Macaca mulatta: one gene and its partner. The protein of the gene in region 2 purifies or fractionates together with the protein of the main gene of each other region. This does not show direct contact. Links are inferred from orthologs where the notes say so. Each region holds a gene or a part of one and is shown on either strand. Other genes may lie near its edges. The genes, in order: IPO9 and AKIRIN2.

Region 1 (10,148 bases), on a different chromosome or scaffold from region 2:
CCATATTCCTGTTTCCATGGCCTGGGACATTGCCATTTGCAAGACATCTCTGGACACCCTCACCTGCAGATCAATCTGATAGAGAGGATCCTTCAGGGCATCAGGGTCATCTTCCTCATCATCCTCGTAGTAATCCTCCTCTGTTAGACACAGCCAACATAGGGCGGATCAGGACAAAGGCCCATGATCAGGCCCTGAATGGTGATATACTACCACATGACGGAGGCGGAAGGTGCAAAAGCCCAAGGAATGTCCCTGTGGGCCCACCTCTCCCCTTTCTTGGGTACCCCATTCTTGGGATCAGTGTGGAAAGAAAAGGTATTTACCATGGCTGTCCTCTTATCAAACAGCTTACCATATTTACTTGTAGCAAGAATGTCAGATAAAAGTTGGCCAGCTAAACCATCCTCCTCCTCCTCCTCTTCCTCCTCCTGGTCCTCCCACATATCATTGGAGTCATCTACTTGGAGATGAAAAGTAGCTAGAGCTAGGGCACATTCATGCATTTCCCCTCCCCAAATCCAAACAGACCAGAAGGGCCCCAAAGGCTTCTGCAATGTGGCTTGTAGTACCCAGTGAAAGAGAACCAGAAATGGCCAAACCCTTCTGGTAAATCTGAAAGAAAGAACCTGGAGATATAAAGGTTGAGAGGCTCTTAAGAAGAATCAAACCAAAGAAGGGCTATGTTAGCTTGCCTCCTGGCTGCCTCCCACCCCAGCCTTCATATGGCAGACTGGAGAAGCAGCTCTTTACATGCCTAGTGCCTAGCACGGTGCCAGCCACAGAGCAGCCATTCCATTAACCATTAACTTGTTTTTTTTTTCAATTAGTGACTCAACAAACCAAGTTGCTAATTTGACAATTTGTAACTTGATCTGCCAGGCTAAAAGTCTCCTTGGAGTAAGGGCCTGGTGCACCTTGACTCCACTCTGCAGGAGTGGCCTGGCGAGCGGCATTAGCCTCCATGACGTTGGAGAGCTCGTTGATGATCAGCTTTAGGATCTTGACCAGCAAAGGAATGTTTGTCCAGCGTTCTGGGTCTGGGAAGGAAGAAAAAGGCTTCAAGTCAGAGTGTCACTGGGCTTACTTCTGGAAGTAGCCCTGTCCCCTCCTCAGTGCTGCTCACCAGAGTTCACCACCCCTCAGACTTTCACTGTCCCTGACTATATCTAGTCTCCAAAGAGTGATTTAAAGTTTAATAACTTTATTCTGTTTGGTATTGTAACAGTTCAGAAGGTGGGAGAGATGAGAGTTCAGGGATTAAAGGAGATAGAGTCTTGTTAGTAATAAAGCTCTGAAACCAAGGAACTGTATAGAGCCAGTACTCTAGTCCCAGTGACTTACAAATTGAGAGACAGCGGAGGTAATTATAAATCTACATTAAAGATAGCAGCTCTATACTCCCTACCTGCAAATCCTTGGTGTTACAGGCCAAAGTCAACTCAGTAACAAAGACACACTAACCATCTGTGCCCAAGCCTCAGAATGAAGCTGGAAACTGGGATGCTTGGTACCTGAGACTATTTTTGTCCTTTTTTTTCCCTCCAGACAGAGTTTCGCTCTTGCTGCCCAGGCTGGAGTGCAATGGCGTGATCTTGGCTCACTGCAACCTTCGCCTACCGGGTTCAAGCTATTCTCCTGCCTCAGCCTCCCAAGTAGCTGGGATTACAGGCATGCGCCACCATGCCTGGCTAACTTTGTATTTTTAGTAGAGGTGGGGTTTCTCTATGTTGGTCAGGCTGGTCTCGAACTCCTGGCCTCAGGTGATCTGGCAGCCTCGGCCTCCCAAAGTGCTGGGATTACAGTTGTGAGCCATCACACTCACTTTTTTTTTTTTTTGAGATGGAGTCTTGTTTTGTTGTCTAGGCTGGAGTGCAGTGGCACGATCTTGGCTCACCACAACCTCTGCCTCCCAGGTTCAAGCGATTCTCCTGCCTCAGCCTCCCAAGTAGCTGGGATTACAGGCGCCCACCACCACATCTGGCTAATTTTTGTACTTTTAGTAGAGACAGGATTTCACTATGTTGGTCAGGCTGGTCTCAAACTCCTGACTTCAAGTGATCCATCCGCCCTGGCCTCCCACCAACTGCTGGAATTACAGGCGTGAGCCACCACGCCCAGCTTATTTTTGTCCATTTTTGACAACAGGAAGAAACCATATGTTCTGATCCCTTTTATCTAAGTTTCCTGTTGCTTCTTTATCAAACCCATCACCAACAATTATGTTTTGAAAATATACACCACAATGCATTCCTTCCCTCCACCCAGGTATCCTTAGCCCCTTATTATAAGGAGAGGATTGGAGGAATTGCAGCATCACCCACTTTTGGCTGACTTAGAGCGGGTGCGGATGCCCTCATCCATGCTGTAGATCTCCTCTCCCTTCACACGGATATCCTGTAGCCGTTTGTCATCTGCATTGATGCCATGCTGGAGCAGCTTACAGAGTGCCACAGAGCTGGCAAGGAAGATCCAAAAAAAAGTCAATCAGTTACCTATCTAGAGTTCATGCCAAGGAGATAAGCAATCATGTCCTAAGGCCCTCTATTTGACAGTGAAAATTCTGTTAACAACTAATTAGGAGAGCTAAGAGAGTTCAGCTGAAAATGAGATTTTAGAGTTCATGAGATGGTCTAATGAGATCTATTCTTCTTCTTCTTATTTTTTTTTTTTGTGATAGGGTCTCATTCTGTCACCCAGGCTGAGTGCAGTGGCGTGATCATGGTTCACTGCAAAGCCTTGACCTCCCTGGGTTCAGGTGATCCTCCCACCTCAGCCTCCTGAGTAGCTGGGACTCCTGAGTGGGTAGGCACGTGCCACCATGCCTGGCTAATATTTTTGGTAGAGATAGGTTTCACCACGTTGCCCAGGTGGGTCTCAAGCAATTTGCCCACCTCAGTCTTCCAAAGTGCTGGGATTACAGGTAACCTGTTCTTCTTGAACAAAGCTAGGGTGGGCAAGCATCACGATGGCTATCCATATTGTAACGTGCAACGAAGTGATAAGAATCAGTGGTATAAAAGTCCAGGATAGAAAGTTAAGAAGCCAGGGTTAGAGGCTTGGGTTTTTTATTTTGAGACAGTTTTGCTCTTGTGGTCCAGGCTGGAGTGCATCTGCCTGTCGCCCAGGCGTGATCTGCCTCCTGGGTTCAAGCGATTCTCCTGCCTTAGCCTCCCGAGTAGCTGGGATTATAGGCACCCACAACCACATCTAGCTATTTTTTGTATTTGTAGTAGAGAGAGGGTTTCACCATGTTGGCCAGGCTGGTCTTGAACTCCTGACCTCCAGTGATCTGCTTGCCTCAGCCTCCAAAAGTGCTGGGATTATAGGTGTGAGCCAGTGCGCCTGGCCAAGGCTTGGGTTTCTAAAGGAAAATAAGCCACTAGCAGCACTTAGCTGTGTGAAGTCTGCGGTAGAAAAGGGATCTCTAGCAAGCAGAGATCAGAAATATATAGTCTACCTGTGTTGACTGTCTTTTGGGGATTTCAAGATGGCAGCTATTCACATATGTGCCTTAGCAATAAAGAAAGACAAGGAAAAGGGAATACAAAGAGCCATCTGAAATGTCAAACAAAAATCAATGGAGCAAATCAGGGAAAAAAAGAAATATAGGTCAGGAGCAGAGGCTCAACACCTGTAATCCCAGCATTTTGGGAGGCCGAGGTGGGTGGATCACTTGAGGTCAGGAGTTCAAGACCAGCCTGGCCAACATGGTGAAACCCTGTCTCTACTAAAAATACACACACACACACACACACACACACAAAAGAATTAGCTGGGTGTGGTGGAAGTTGCAGTGAGCCAAGATTGTGCCACTGCACTCCAGTCTGGGGGACAGAGTGAGACTCTGTTTCAAAAAATAAAAAAACACAAAAGAAAGAAATATAAGTGGTGAAGTGGTGGCAGAATGCCCAGAAAAGAAAGATGGGATTCTACCTGACTTTGCCTTCATACTGTCCATAGAACAGGTGCTGTCGGCTTGTCCACTCAGCCATCACAAACTCTAGAGCAGGTTTGCCAGTAGGTCCTGGGAGGCTACACAGGAACTCCAAAAGAGGTTCTAGCTGAGTGTGCACCAGATGAGCAAACACCATGATCAGGGACTAGGAGAAAATAAGGACATTTGCTTCAGGGAAATCAATTTCAGAGACATAAAAGATGAGAGGGAACTGGCCAGTCAGATAAGAGACAGAGTCTACACTGAGGGTATTATTCACAGGACAAGAAAACATGGAGATTTCCTTGTCCATGTTTCTTAGGCCAGACAGATCCCATTTTACTTAACTGTCCTACAAGGGTAGTAACAGGGTAAAATAACTCAGGACCAAAATACTAATTTTCACTTCTATCAGCCAGGAGTAGGAAGCCCACTCCCTACTGTTCTCTTACCTGCATGACACTGAGCGTCTCTGCCTGCTGCATCTTACTGAGGATGGCACGAAGAATCTGGTCTAGATTCTCCCCCAGCTCCCGCCCTGCCTTGGAGATGAGGGTGGAAACAAGGCGGCCCACAAAGGCCGCAGTGAACTCTGAGGTGCGGGGGTCCAGGAGCTGGCTCACCACTTGCATCACATACCACAGTCCATTGTGGCCCTGCTCATCATGCCACTGGGCTACTTGTTCCAGGGTCACTGACACATAGGCCCGCAAGCACTCTCCGCCATTCTGGGGAGACAGGGGTGGCAAGCAAGATTAGTAACCGAGAGACAGATGCCAGGAGGCCCTCAGTCTGTATAAACAAATGTTCTCAGAGGCCTATGCCTCATAAAAGCGGTGAGTCTATAGTATTTGTGGTGGGCTCATATCACTGGAATCAGGAATTTACTGTTATAGACACAGACATGCATTACATAATTCCCCCTTTACCTAATGAGCTATCTCAAAAATATGTATTATTATTATTTTTTAATCACAAGGGACAATGGCCAAGCAAAATGAATTTTAATCATAAAGGTCTACCTCTGGTACTAAAAAAATATGCTTACAATCTTGCAATAATTGGGGATACTATAGGACCTCATATAGGTCTTACACAAACCACTAGTTGCCTAGGGATTTCTAAGCTGATCAATATTCACTGGCAAGTTCCTATAACCTTTATAATCAATGACGGTAGTACACACCTGAAAAGGTAACCAATTCACCCAGGAAACAAAAAGAGAAAAAATATTTAGGCATCTCTCCCCTCTCTAGAGGCCCATCACTCTGCTGATTTTATTAATAGAGGAAATATGCAGAAAGACTTTCTTATGGCCCCAAGTCTAGATGTCTGTAATCTCTTTCATAGTAGCAATACCCAATACAGATGGGCAGGGTGCTTGGTATCTGTATTTTTAAAAACTGTAACATGCTCCAAAGCACCAGAAACGCTTGGCTTTTGCAGCCTGAACCCTTCCTGAATCTGCTAAGTAAATATGGAGTTGAGGAATTCCGTATTTCAAAAGCATAAAACCATGTCAGATTTCTCAGCGTAGTAAAGGCCCATGACTGGGGAGCTATCTTCCCCCTTCTAGTCTCCATGTCTCAGATACCTGCATGGTGGCATTGTCATCTGTGTGAAGGGTACACTGTGCCACAGCAGGGAAAGCTTGGCAGATGAGAAGCTGGGAAAGGGGAGGCTTTGTATTTCGTACTACTGTTGTCAGGATATCAATGGCTGTCTGAAAGAGAGAAGAAAAAAGAGTCAGAATTGCCTCTGGGGTTGGGGGTGCCCAACAACTAAGATCCTTACTGGATGGGTATCACATAGCAACCCAGAGAAAGCTTATTAATGAAAGGCAAGTTTCCAAAATAAAAGGAATAATTAAATGGGTAGTGCTCTCAGCCTCCTCCTAATAGTTTACTAATTGATTAGTCCTAGGGGTGGGCACTAGTACATGGTAGTGGATTGGATAACCAGGTGACATACTTAGTGGCGCTGTGTAATGGTGGCACTCTGTTCAATTCACTGAGGGTACCTCTGAAACAAGAAGAGCCATTTTCTTTCTTTTATTCTTTTTTGAGGCAGAGTCTCACTCTGTCACCCAGGCTGGAGTGCAGTGGTGCGATCTCCGCTCACTGCAACCTCTGCCTCTTGGGTTCAAGGGATTCTCCTGCCTCAGTCTCCCAAGTAGCTGGGACTGCAGGTGCCTGCCACCATGCCTGGCTAATTTTTGTATTTTTAGGAGAGACAGGGTTTCACCATACTGGCCAGGCTGGTCTCAAACTCCTGACCTTGTGATCTACCTGCCTTGGCCTCCCAAAGTGCTGGGATTATAGGCGTGAGCCACCGCGCCAAGCCAAGTCATTTTCTTAAAGCTTCAGAGAATCACCCACTGTCATTGTGGGCAAAAGAGCTCAGCAAAATCACCCCATGAATCTCTAATGCTATTAAGTTCTTGTCAGCTACATGCATCTGTGGGTGGCGCTTGTATATCTCACACACACACAGCCACTTACCGCACAGAGCCCTGCAGGGATCTTGTCTGCTGGGGCCTGCATTATGCTGACCAGAGTGGGAATCAACCTCATTTGCATTGGGCCCTGACAGGCTTCAATCTGGGACAGCTCCTTGAAGATGTCCTGAGCCAGTGAGGCGACGACGGGATCTGAAGTGGATAAGGCAACACGGAATCCCCCTGCCTGATGGTCTGCATCTGCTTCTCGCTTAATGATGCCTGTTGTTTGCCCTAACCTAACAACTTCTGCATTGATTACTTATCACACATCCGGGACCTAGTGGGGCCACATGAATAACCTGAAAGAACAGGAGTGATCCTAAATCTCCAAGAGGTACACTTTGTATGGCTTCATTAAAGTAGGGACTAGTCTTCAACAGCTACTCCTAAAACAAAATGTAGTTTTTCTAAAGAAAAATCTTTAAAGTCTTTATTCTTGTGAAACCTAGATTATAAAACCATATGCTTAAAAGAAAAAAAAAAGCCCAACTGATACTTTAAGAAGAAAGTTGCAAAAATTGCCAAAACACTGACTTTGATGCATGAGAGAAATCATACATATCTCCTATGAGGTAGCCATAGTGGCCATGAACAATTCTCAAAGCTACTTCTGGGGCAAAAGGCAAAACTCCTAAAAAGCAGAGCCTTATGAAGAAAGGGAACTTTAGCTCAATCTTCTTTATCTATATAACAAAACATCCTCCTCTATTTAGTATGGAAAAATATAGGCAATGTATGTTAAAGTATATCTTAAAAGATCACTGCAGCATTGTTTGTAATAGAAAAAAATTGGGAATACCCTAGATGTCCATTAGCAGAATGGGTAAATTATGATATACCCATTTTATGGAATACTATGTAATGGCTGAAAGAATGAGATATATCCAAGAACACAATGTGGAAAGCTCCTCAGTACACATTTTTCAGTGAAAAAGCATATCTAATAACATGTTCAGTATATCACATTATATAAACAATCCTTATCCTGTACATCTTTCTGAGCTTCAATATTGGAGCTCTCCCTTTAAAAAAAAAAAAATCCTTAATATTTTACTAGTAATAAGGTATTAATAAATACATTCACTATAGGAAAAAAAAAAACTTAAACTGCAGAAAATAAAGAAAACACCTGTAATTCCACCACCTAGAGATAAACACTCTTAAAATTTTGATGTATTTTTTTCTTTTCTTTTTTTTTTTTTTTTTTTTAACATACTTAACTATACATATATCCTTTCCTAAAAGAAAAATCAAAACTTGGGATCATATTCTATGGATTTTTGGGGAAAAGTATCTTTTCATTTATTACAATGTAAGCTCTTTCCCATGGTTTTAAATATTCCTTTTTAGCTTGATTTTTAATGGCTGAACAGTATTTCATTTTATGGATATAATTAACTAATGTCTTTTTATAATTTCCAAATTTTTACTACTGTAAAAAATATCTAGTGAATACCTTTGTTCATAAACTTTTACATGTATCTTTCTTTAGTATCTCCTTTTCTAACTTATAGTCCTAGCCCTTTTCTTTTAGGAGGCTTTTCATTTGCCAAATTTCCTATTCTATCATCAAAGTTCTGAATTATGTCTCTTGCTTATAAGCCCTTTATTTATTATCTTTTTCCCTAAGTCCTTACTAGAGAGTGTTACAGAAATAGGTACTCTATTTTTTAATGCTGCTACATTTACAGCACAATTCTATTTTTTGCTAATCCAAAGCCAGATTCTTTGCTTATGATGTTAAAACCATAGCATCATAGGTAAGACCAAACCTAGGGAATCTTTCATTTAAATTCCCCAGCCACCACCTTTTCTTTGGTGCCCCTCATAACACAGTTCTCCCTGGTGGCATACCATTACTGTACTTTAGAAAAATGGCGATGGTGAAGGGGCAGATTTTGCTTTCCATGCTTGCTGTGAATTCGGGGTCTACTGTACAAACGATGCACAGGGTCTCCATCACCAGGTTGAGGACCTCTGAGCTGAACTGGGCTGCTAGGTGAATTAAGCCATCCAGGATACTGGGGAGGAAGGGCTGGAGCACATGGGTACTCTCTGATACTTTCAGTTGGTCACAATAACTAGAGAGAGACAGATAAGCAATTATTATTTAAAAAATTCAATTCCTGGTTTTCCCAATTAATCTCACATATTATAGCATTTATATGTGTAGCTTTATAAAGCAAATTCTAAAGTTAGGTAAGTTTCTACTTCTTTCTGGATGTATTATATAAACATTAGCACCACCATTTCTATGTTCTCTATTTGACTTTTGCTATTTTCTTTAAAAACTTCTGCTTTTTTTCTTGAAGTTTTTTTTTCTGCATCCTGAAACAAGCTTAATTTATATAAACTTTTTTTTTTTTTTTCTTGAGACGGAGTCTCGCTCTGTCACCCAGGCTGGAGTGCAGTGGTTGTATCTCGGCTCACTGCAAGCTCTGCCTCCCGGGTTCACGCCATTCTCCTGCCTCCTCAGCCTCCCGAGTAGCTGGGACTACAGGCGCCCGCCACCTCGCCTGGCTAGTTTTTTTGTATTTTTGTAGTAGAGACGGGGTTTCACTGTGTTAGCCAGGATGGTTTCAATCTCCTGACCTCATGATCCACCCGTCTCGGCCTCCCAAAGTGCTGGGATTACAGGTTTCAGCCACCATGCCCGGCCTTATATAAACATTTTATTTATACTTTCGAAATCAGCCTATTAGCTGTAGGATTTAAAGTTCCCTTATAGTTTTACTGTATTAGCCTCTTTTCAATCAACAAATATTTACTGAATGTTGCTTACCATGTCCAAAATGATACAACTGTTAAAAATACATTGTCTAGGACCAGGCACTGTAGCTCACGTCTGTAATCCCAGCACTTTGAGGGGCCAAGGCAGGCAGATCACCTGAGGTCAGGGGTTCAAGAGCAGCCTGCCCAACATGACAAAACATCTCTACTAAAAATGCAAAAAAATTAGCTAGCCGTGGCGTTGCGCACCTGTAATCTCAGATACCTGTAATCTCAGAGAGGCTGAGCCATGAGAATCACTTGAACCTGGGAGGCAGAGGTTGCAGTGAGGCGAGATCATGCCACTGCACTCCAGCCTGGGTGACAAGAGCGAGACTGTCTCAAACAAAAACAAAAACAAAAACAAAACCACAACAACAAAAATTATCTAAATCTTTACTTTTGTTTATCTTTAGAATGGCAATAAGTTACAAGGCAATAAAACATTGTTTCTCTATGTTAAAAGAACCTAATATAGAAACAAGGCACTTAGCAGTACTCAATAAGTGGTTCTTCTTTCTTTCTTTCTTTCTTTTTTGAGATGGAATCTCACTCTGTTCCCCAGGCTGGAATGTAGTGGCATGATCTCGGCTACCTGCAACCTCCGCCTCCCGGGTTCAAGCAACTCTCCTGCCTCAGCCTCCCGAGTAGCTGGGAATACTGGGAATACAGGCACCCGCCACCACGCCCAGCTAATTTTTGCATTTTTCGTAGAGATTGGGTTTCACTATGTTGGCCAGGGTGGTCTTGAACTCCTGACCTCAGGTGATCCGCCTGCCTTGGCCTCCCAAAGTGCTGAGATTACAGGCGTGAGCACTGTACCCAGCCAATAAATGTTTTTTTTCTTAACTTAAATGTTTTATTTTAAATGTCTTATAACCGTATTATTTGTGTTGGCTTTCCAAGGTCCACAATGACCAGTGAAACTGTGGGCTTTAATCT
Region 2 (10,148 bases):
AGGCGGGCCATGAGCCATAAGGTTAATTTCCCTTCCTGAACGGAAATTTTCTCGTTCTCAGAGAATATACTGCAGTAGTGTATAGAAAGTGAAATTAAAGCACACATGGAAAATAATGCATTTTGTACAACTGAGTTCCTCAGAAACTCTAATAAACACACCTCATACCTGCAAGTTTTGTGTTCAATATTTCTTCATATTCTTCTCGAACTTTCTCTTCACGTTCTTTCAACAAACGTTCACAGATCATCCCAACCTGCCGTAGAGTAAATAAGGGCTGTTCTTTTTTTAATGGTGAGGATGCTGCAGATGAAGTCCCTATGTACAATGAGGACAAAAAATAGTACCTGGTTTAGAGCCATGATAGAAAGCAATTTCTAAATGAAGAGGTTTCATTTGGATCTCTTCAATCTTGATATAAAAGCATTTTAAAATCAGATTTTAAGCACAGCATTTCACAAGTCTTAAAACAACCAAAATAATAATTCCATCAGCTGGTGACGCTGGAAAAACGTGGCAAGATGTAATCAAGATAAAAAAAAAGTCTAAAGATGAGTAGAAAAAACTTTAAGACATAAGAAAGGCTGGGCGTGGTGCTCATGCCTGTAATCCCAACACTTTGGGAGGCCGAGGCAGGCAGATCACCTGAGGTCAGGAGTTTGAAACCAGCCTGGCCAACATGGTGAAACCCTGTCTCTACTACAAATACAAAAAAAATTAGCCAGGCATGATGGCAGGCACCTGTAATCCCAGCTACTCGGGAGGCTGAGGCAGGAGAATTGCTTGAACCCAGGAGGCAGACGTTGCAGTGAGCCGAGATCGTGCCACTGCACTCCAGCCTGGGCAAAAAGAGCAAAACTCCATCTCAAAAAAACAAAAACAAAAAATTAAAAATTAAATTTAAAAAAGACAAAAAACAAACATTACAATGATGGGTCCCATTACAAAACCTCTCATCTCCTTTCTGGAAAATACCATACCATGAAGTATTTTAGTGCCTAAACTTTCCTACACCAGGAATAAAGAACACCTCAGGTCTAAACTTAATTTATTTAGTCCCAGAATAACAAATCATTATGCCAGTAAAAAGACACAATCTTCAAAGCCATACCATTAATATCTTAACAGCCCACACACAATGAACCGGTAAATTATTCTACCATCATTTCACACCTTTAGAAAGGGGTTTTCCTTTATTAAAAAAGAAAATAGGCCGGGCATGGTGGCTCACGCCTGTAATACCAGCACTTTGGGAGGCCGAGGCGGGCGGATCACCTGAGGTCAGAAGTTCAAGACCAGCCTGACCAACGTGTAGAAACTTCGTCTCTACTAAAAATACAAAATTAGCTGGGCATGGTGGCGGATGCCTGTAATCCCAGCTACTCGGGAGGCTGAGGCAGGAGAATCACTTGAACCCAGGAGGCGGAGGTTACGGTGAGCCAAGATCATGCCACTGCACTCCAGCCTAGGCAACAAGAGAGAAACTCCATCTCAAAAAAAAAAAAGAAATTTCATGTTGGCACAATAAAACCTTTGTTTAAAAAAAGAAGGTACAGCATGAACCCTTTTTAAAAAAGATTAAAAAACATTCTGGAATCTAGCTGGGTATGGTGGCTCATACCTGTAATCCCAGCACTTTTTGGGAGGTTGAAGCAGGTGGAACCCTTGAGCTCAAGGCCAGCCTGCACAACATGGCAAACCATGTCTCTAGTAAAAATACAAAGATTGGCTGGGAGTGGTGGCATGTGCCTGTTCCTAGCTACAGGGTAGGCTGAGGTAGAGGCTGCAGTGAGCCAAGATCTCACCACTGCACTCCAGCCTGGGCAACGGAGTGAGACCGTGTCTCAAAAACAAAATGAAACAAAATAAAAAAGACATTCTGGAATCTACTTTGCTGGAGAAGCATAAATGATTCTAAAGGTGTTTGAACACATTGACTACTACCATTCAGTTAACAATAATTCGCATGGAAAAATAAGCTCAAGTACTGAGCTGATAATGCTATGCTCAAAACTCTATAGTATCATAGAACTACACTGTCATCACACTAAGAATCCCAAAGCAGCTGCAACATCAGTGTCTGTCAATATCATTAGTAAATTGGCAAGAATATTCCTTCAGCATTTTTATACCTATTAGTATTTTTTTATAAAAGAGAAAATATTTTGTAGTAATAACATCTATTGTAATACTGCTAAAAGTATTTTATTCACATTCAAGTGCACCACTCATTTGTTATCTATTGTTTCTTCATCTCACTCTGTGAATTTGCCCTGGTACCACCAATATTACTCTCTTAACTTAATGCTGCTTATAACCGGCATGGCAGGAGCTAGTTAACTATGCTTATTAGAACTGCGCATATCACAATAACAAAGCACACCAGCTTTATTCATAATTACCCAAGGCTATCTTAATTTATTTTCACATTCCCAGCTTTGTTACTTAAGAGCCAGTTAACTGATCTTCTAAGTGAGTAAGGAAATAATGATCTTGGTTTCCTGCTAATACAGTCTAGTACCCAACCCTCACCTCTTACTATGTTTCAACCACTAATAACTGGCCCCCCACAATGGGCATGGCAGTATTTAGTTTTGAACAATTTCATGTTTCCTAATCTAATTTTATTTGACTATATTATGGTCTTTGATTTTTTTTTTTTTCTTTTTTTTTTGAGACGGAGTCTTGCTCTGTCGCCCAGGCTGGAGTGCAATGGTGTGATCCCTGCTCACTGCAAGCTCTGCCTCCCAGGTTCATGCCATTCTCCTACCTCAGTAGCCGGGACTACAGGCACCTGCCACCACACCCAGCTAATTTTTTGTCTTTTTAGAGTGATGGAGTTTCACTGTGTTAGCCAGGATGTTCTCGATCTCCTGACTTCACGATCCGCCCGCCTCGGCCTCCCAAAGTGCTGGGATTACAGGCATGAGCCACTGCGCCTGGTCGAAATTTTTTTATTCTGCCAGGTTTTCCCACCCTTGCTAGAGGGAGGAGAGAAAGCATTGAACAAAGGCAACTGTTGTCACAAGAAAAGCTATTTTGCTGAGAACTTTACTAAAGGTAAGAGCCACTATTGATGGCTCTCTTTCAGCAAAACCTTCAACTTTCTCTTTGCTTCAAGTAGCCCTTATTCCTTTTTTTTTTTTTTAAAAAGGAAGGTTATTTGCAAACACTCCCCCCAACAAAAGGTAGGTAAAAACAGATACAGGATCAAAAAAAGTAATAAAATAATCCACCTTTAGAAATCTATCCCAATAAGACAAGTGTGTAAGGGAGGGTACGTATACAGGGATATTTCTTAAAATACTATACCAGCAAAACATCTAAGTTGAATTATCAATAAGCATTCGGTCATGACAAGGTACATCTATACCTAACAAAGGAGCATATAGTATTCTGTTAATTTTTTTTTTTTTTTTTTTTTGAGACAAAGTCTCACTGTGTCGCCCAAGCTGGAGTGCAGTGGCACGATCTCAGCTCACTGCAACCTCCGCCTCCCAGGTTCAAGTGATTCTCATGCCTCAGCCTCCCAAGGGGCTGGGACTACAGGCACATGCCACCATGCCTGGCTAATTTTTCTATTTCCAGTAGAGACAAGGTTTCACCATGTTGGCCAGGCTGGTCTCAACTCCTGACCTCCAGTGACCTGTCTACCTCGCTTGGCCTCCCCAAGTGCTGGGATTACAGGCATGAGCCACCGTGCCTGGCCTATTGTTAATTTTTTTAATAAAGGCTACAAATCATAGTACTTACAGGATGTCCACTTTGGGGATATTATTATACAGGTGGTTGTCCCTGGTTAGTGGGAATCCAGGTGATAATTCCTTATTTTGTACCATATTTTTAAGATGTCATGCATTACTTGTATAAATGTTTTTTTAAAACTCAGAGGAGATATAGTAGCTTAAATGACTAAAGACAACTTGGATTAAACTTTTCCCACTCTAAATAATAAACTTTATAAATGAAAAGAAATGTTATTACCTGGTGAAGCTGGTCCACTGAGGAGAAATGCATGTGGCTGTGCATCAGAAGTACAACACGGATCTGTCTGTTGGAAACTCGTTTCTAAATGTCTTCTCTTCTGCATTCGTTTATACTCTTGTTTTATGTTGTACAGAATTTGTTCTAAAATAAAAAAAGTTAAAATTTGGCAAGATAAAAACTTTCACATTAAAAAAGAGGTTGGCTTTCCAACATTATTTAGTAGACCAATCTACCCAAAATATTCCTTTCAAATAATATCCAGAAAACTGACATTCTGGTAGGAACTCATTTCAGCATAAATGAGGACATTCACTTAGCACATACACACCAACTGGAATTCAGCTGCTCAACAATATTCTTGCTGAGCACTGACTAGCAAAAATAAAGTTTTTCAATCAAAATAATGGTCAAGTAGTCTGTGAACCCAAACACCTATTTTACTCAGATTCTTGAGTTCCAAACTTAAAGCTCATTTATTCATCACATAGAACTATTACACTAACAGGCTTTTCCAACTGCCTTTAATGCCTTTATGCCTTTTCCAAGCCCATAAATAAGAAGGGGCGTGGGGGATTATGTATATTCAAGCACACAACAGTCTGAAGTGACAGTAGGTCAACAAAATGACAAAGCAGATGGGAACTAAAAAAGTCATCATACATTAAATGGCCATGGCCAATTATTTTAAGCTCAATAAAACCTAAGAATACTATAGCATTCTGAATCTTGGGGCTGGAGGGTGGGTGGGGTGAGGGAGAGACCATGTGAAGTGACTGGTACATGACAGGTCCTCAATAAATAAGAACCACCATACCACAGTGCAATTATCTTGAACCACAATCACACGAATGAGTAAAATTATATCTGGCATATCTTTTAGGCCAGTATGATTCATTTCAGAAAGATTTCTAACTCAAAATAATTACCATCTGGCCCCTCCAGAAAATCCCTACCTGGGGGTTTCCACTCCTCACTACACCTCCTCACTACACCTCACTACACCTCCTCACTACACCTCACTACACCTCCATACACCTCCTCACTACACCTCCATACACCTCCTCACTACACCTCACTACACCTCCTCACTACACCTCACTACACCTCCTCACTACACCTCACTACACCTCCATACACCTCCTCACTACACCTCACTACACCTCCATACACCTCCTCACTACACCTCACTACACCTCCTCACTACACCTCACTACACCTCCTCACTACACCTCACTACACCTCACTACACCTCCATACACCACCTCACTACACCTCCATACACCTCCTCACTACACCTCACTACACCTCCTCACTACACCTCCATACTACACCTCACTACACCTCCTCACTACACCTCACTACACCTCCTCACTACACCTCCATACACCTCCTCACTACACCTCCTCACTACACCTCCATAGCTCCCAAGTTAACAGGGTATCAATGTGAAACTACATCCCTAGAAGTTTACTAATCAAAATCCAAAGCAAGATTAAATAAAAATGAAATATTTAGGTGGCAATTAACTGGCAATAAAAAGACTGACGGAGTGGAGTGTAGCCTTAAAATTCAATTTTACAATGATGCATTAATTTAAGAACTGTTAGATATTGGTGAAGTGGGGTGGCTTAACACCTGTAACCATGGCACTTTGGGAGGTCGAGGTGGGAGGGTCACTAGAGGCCAGGAGGTCAAGACCAGCCTGGGCAACACAGAGGGACCCTGTCTCTATGACACACAAAAAAGAAAGCTAAAGATTTACATACAATAATTCTTTTTAAAATGTAACACTGGTGGTTTTCGTAGATAACCACCATATCTACAAAATCTTGTCACTTACCTCTTTTCTCACTTTATTTCCCTAGGAGAACTTTTAGAATTTTTGAGAGACTCTGGGAGGACAAATAAGTTCCCTTAAACATTTTAAATACTGCTTGTTTCATTATTTAAACTGAAAAAATGTTGCAAGACATATCCAGTTAAAGATACCATTTACATAAATTTCGTTGTATAAAAAGACCTGTTTATATATACATGAATGTGTGGTTTAAGTACAAAATCACACATCCACGTGTACTTAAACAGGTCTATAATGATTAATTTCAGGATGGTTATGTTGGAGTGCTTTAGCTGTATTTTTCATTTGTTAACATTTGTTTAATACGAGTTATGGTCATTTTCAGTCCTTTTCCATTTATTTGAACTACTTTGTAATTTGAAAACAAAGTTATTCCAATTGAGTGACAGTGGTTAAATTATTAAATTATCAGTGTTGGCATGAAAGAGTTGTCTTCTGAATGGTAAGCATACCTTGATATAAATAGGTTTCCTAATATTCACCAGAGGTACCCAATAAAACTAATGTAACATCTGGTTTCAACCACGACAAACACAAATACCCTCATTTTTTAAATAACAGACCTCTTTTCAGTAACAGCAATCTAAAGCGTTTTTTTCTTTTCGAGACGGAGTCTCGCTCAGTCATCCGGGCTGGAGTGCAGTAGCGCGATCTCGGCTCACTGCAACCTCTGCCTCCCAGGTTCAAGCAATTCGCCTGCATCAGCCTCCTGAGTAGCTGGGACTATAAGCGTGAGCCACCACGCCCAGCTAATTTTTATATTTTTGGTAGAGACAGGGTTTCACCATATTGGTCAGGCCTGTCTCGAACTCCTGACCTCAGGTGATCCAACCTTCTCGGTCTCCCAAAGTGCTAGGATTATAGGTGTGAGCCACTGCACCCAGCATTTATATTTTGCTCTCTGACAGAAAGTAAGCTTCACTCACATTCATCACTTTCTGTCCAAAGCTACCATTATCCTGATCAAAAGTGCTATTCAAAACATCATAAAATTTATTTATAACCAGAGATTTTAGGAGGTACTAGTTTGGAGTAACCTGACCTTAATATTTATCTTTTGTGTGACTTACATACGTTCTTTCATCACCACATAGCTGTTCTCAGATTTAGTGTTCCTTCTGCTTCACAAGTCAACCAAAGCACAACTAAAATGTACCAAAAGAATGCTTGTATAACAACCACCTCAATTTGTTCATTTGATAATCTCAAATGAAAGCTAACCCAGAATTAAGAAACAGTAAAACTTTTAAAAATTTATCTTTGTAAAACTCTATACCATCAGACACTTAGAGACATCACTAACATTTTAAGGTGTAATTTACAAATGACAAAATTAACCAATTTAAATGTACAATTCATTTGAGTTCTGACAAGTACAAACATACAGTTTTGGAACTAACATTAACTATGATAAATAACTTTTTATCACTCCAAAAACTTCTCTTGGGCTCCTCTGCAGTTAATTCACTACCACCATCACCACTTCCCCAGTACAGTCCACCAACACTCATCTGCTATTACTATATAGTTTTGCCTTCTCTAGAATTTCACATAAATGGAATCATAAAGAGTACAGACTTTTATGTCTGAACTACTTTCACTCAGCACAATGCTTTTGAGATTCATATATTTTGCATGAATCAGAAATTCCTTTTCGTTGGTGAGAATTCCATTGTATGTATGTATACATACACACACATATCTATCCTTTCTCCTGTTAATGGACATTAAGACTGTTTCCAATTTAGAACTATTACGAATATTCAAGTACCAGTCTTTGGCGGACATGTTTTCATTTCTCTTGGATAAATCCCTAGGAGTGGGAATAGGCTGCCTAATCATATGGCAAATGAACGGTTTATTTTGTTCTTACAAAATAAAATCGCGAAACCATTTTCCAGAGTGATTTTGTCATTTTGCATTCCTACCATAAAAGTATTACAGCTCCAGCTGTTCCACATCCTTGCCAACACTTGATATTGTCAGCTAAAGAGCTGAAGAATTTTTAAAGCTATTGACTGCATGCTTTTTACATCAAATATGATGCAACTATGTCATCTAAGCCACACTGGTGCCCTCAAATGCTCTAATACTGGTAACATGTGATCAACAATGTTATGCAGTAAAGGGTCCAATTTAACTTGGCCAAGATCTCAACCGCACAAGTAGCAAACAGCTAACTGCAATGGCAAGCCTCAAGCTCAATTTATTTCAGTCCAGGGATATAAACAGTCTTGAAGCTGATAAACTCAAGAAACTTCCTCGGATTCAATATTCTACAACCACCACATTGCTAAGCTCAATCTAGATACTTGGGTGACCTGAGTTGCTTTCATACCAGGTAGATAAAGGCCTTCTACATATCAGTAAAGTACTTGTCTACTTAGTCTTAAGCTACTTAGATCTGGCCATCTCTTACCAAACCAGCAAGTTAACATTTTATCCAAGGTACATGTAATATCTGACATTGTCTTGCCAATACAATTTAAAGTTCATTAAAGAAAAAAGAAGTCCGAGCTTCACTTGTATTATCAGTTGCATATTCCAGTTTTAATCATATGCCTTCCTATTTGGCTTATGAGGCATAGACTGAATTTGCAGCAACCATTTAGAGCAAAATATGTAGAGTTATCTTCAAGACAAGCTACAGCACACAAATGGCTGTATATTCTTTTACTAAATCCTAAAAACTACCTCTTTTACCATAAAATACTGCTAAGTGGAAGTCATTAGCAAGTTCTACGACTCACAGCATTTTCATTCGCAAAACCAGTACATGTCGGCCGGGCGCAAAACCAGTACATGTCGGCCGGGCGCAGTGGCTCACGCCTGTAATCCCAGCACTTTGGGTGGCCGAGGCGGGCGGATCACGAGGTCAGGAAATCGAGACCACAGTGAAACCCCGTCTCTACTTAAAAAAAAAAAAAAAATAGGCCAGGCGCGGTGGCTCACGCCTGTAATCCCAGCACTTTGGGAGGCCGAGACGGGTGGATCACGAAGTCAGGAGATCGAGACCATCCTGGCGAACACAGTGAAACCCCGTCTCTACTAAAAAAAAAAAAAAAAAAAAAAACTACAAAAAAAAAAAAAAAACTAGCCGGGCGAGGTGGCGGGCGCCTGTGGTCCCAGCTACTCGGGAGGCTGAGGCAGGAGAATGACGTAAACCCGGGAGGCGGAGCTTGCAGTGAGCTAAGATCCGGCCACTGCACTCCAGCCTGGGCGACAGAGCGAGACTCCGTCTCAAAAAAAAAAAAAAAAAAAAAATACAAAAAATTAGCCGGGCGCGGTGGTGGCGCCTGTAGTCCCAGCTACTCGGGAGGCTGAGGCAGGAGAATGGCGGGAACCCGGGAGGCGGAGCTTGCAGTGAGCCGAGATCGCGCCACTGCACTCCAGCCTGGGCGACAGAGCGAGACTCCGTCTCAAAAAAAAAAACAACTAGTACATGTCACTAAAATTGCTAATTAGGTGGTATCAACAAGTCAGCACTTATTTCTTTGGAATATTTTTAAAAACAAATTAGGAGGCCGAAAGCAGTGGCTCACACCTTTAATCCCAGCACTTTGGGAGGCCGAGGCAGGAGGATCACTTCAGGTCAGGAGTTTGAGACTAGCCTGGCCAACACAGTGAAACCCCATCTCTACTAAAAATACAAAAATTAGCTGGGCGTAGTAGCGGATGCCTGTAATTCCAGCTATTTGGGAGGCAGAGGTAGGTGAATTGCTTGAACCCAGGAGGCAGAGGTTGCAGTGAGCTGAGATCATGCCATTGCACTGCAGCCTGGGCAACAAGAAAGAAAACTCTGTCTCAAAAAAAATAAATAAGTAAATATCGTAAACGTGGAAATAAAAGGCCTCTTTCTAGTTGCCACTGATTACTTAGGAAATGCTGGGCACCATGAATAAGGTCAACAATATAAACAGGAGAAAGTAGTTATGGGATAAAAAGCATAATGGAATTGATGGGGGCAGGACAAACAGCATCAAGGTAAGACTGAGCAAAGAACATGGAATTAGAAGCAACTAAAAATAACTTTAAGGAGAACCACAAAAGAAGGGTGGGCTGTCAAAGTATCTTTCTAGGGTCCATACATTTAAGTTCTAAAAATCTGACATGTGAAACTAGAAACTTTTGCTCCACACCCATAAAGCTTTACTGTTTTCCTCCAGACATCATTACTAGATCAAACATTAAGGTTTCGCTAGCAGTTTTAAGTTTAGGTGTATGGGGTCCCTCTGGATCATTTTATAGATCAATACCATTTATTTCTCCATGGAATCTTTGGAAAACAAAATGAAAGTGGACC

What was found.
Region 1: the proteins of AKIRIN2 (region 2) and IPO9 purify together in Homo sapiens (affinity purification with mass spectrometry; 3 studies listed by BioGRID and IntAct, counting the BioPlex papers as one, with this or other methods). This does not show direct contact. The link is inferred for Macaca mulatta from reciprocal best matches to the Homo sapiens genes AKIRIN2 and IPO9.

What each region holds. Positions count from the first base shown.
Region 1 is NC_133406.1:59,520,476-59,530,623, reverse strand, and holds part of IPO9 (importin-9), read right to left. Parts: intron 8,519-10,148; coding exon 8,292-8,518; intron 6,588-8,291; coding exon 6,439-6,587; intron 5,661-6,438; coding exon 5,532-5,660; intron 4,666-5,531; coding exon 4,390-4,665; intron 4,104-4,389; coding exon 3,937-4,103; intron 2,459-3,936; coding exon 2,325-2,458; intron 1,041-2,324; coding exon 918-1,040; coding exon of another isoform or gene 909-917; intron 464-908; coding exon of another isoform or gene 461-463; coding exon 356-460; intron 141-355; coding exon 64-140; intron 1-63. UniProt on the Homo sapiens protein: Nuclear transport receptor that mediates nuclear import of proteins, such as histones, proteasome and actin. Serves as receptor for nuclear localization signals (NLS) in cargo substrates.
Region 2 is NC_133409.1:98,258,606-98,268,753, reverse strand, and holds part of AKIRIN2 (akirin-2), read right to left. Parts: intron 4,129-10,148; coding exon 3,985-4,128; intron 319-3,984; coding exon 169-318; intron 1-168. UniProt on the Homo sapiens protein: Molecular adapter that acts as a bridge between a variety of multiprotein complexes, and which is involved in embryonic development, immunity, myogenesis and brain development.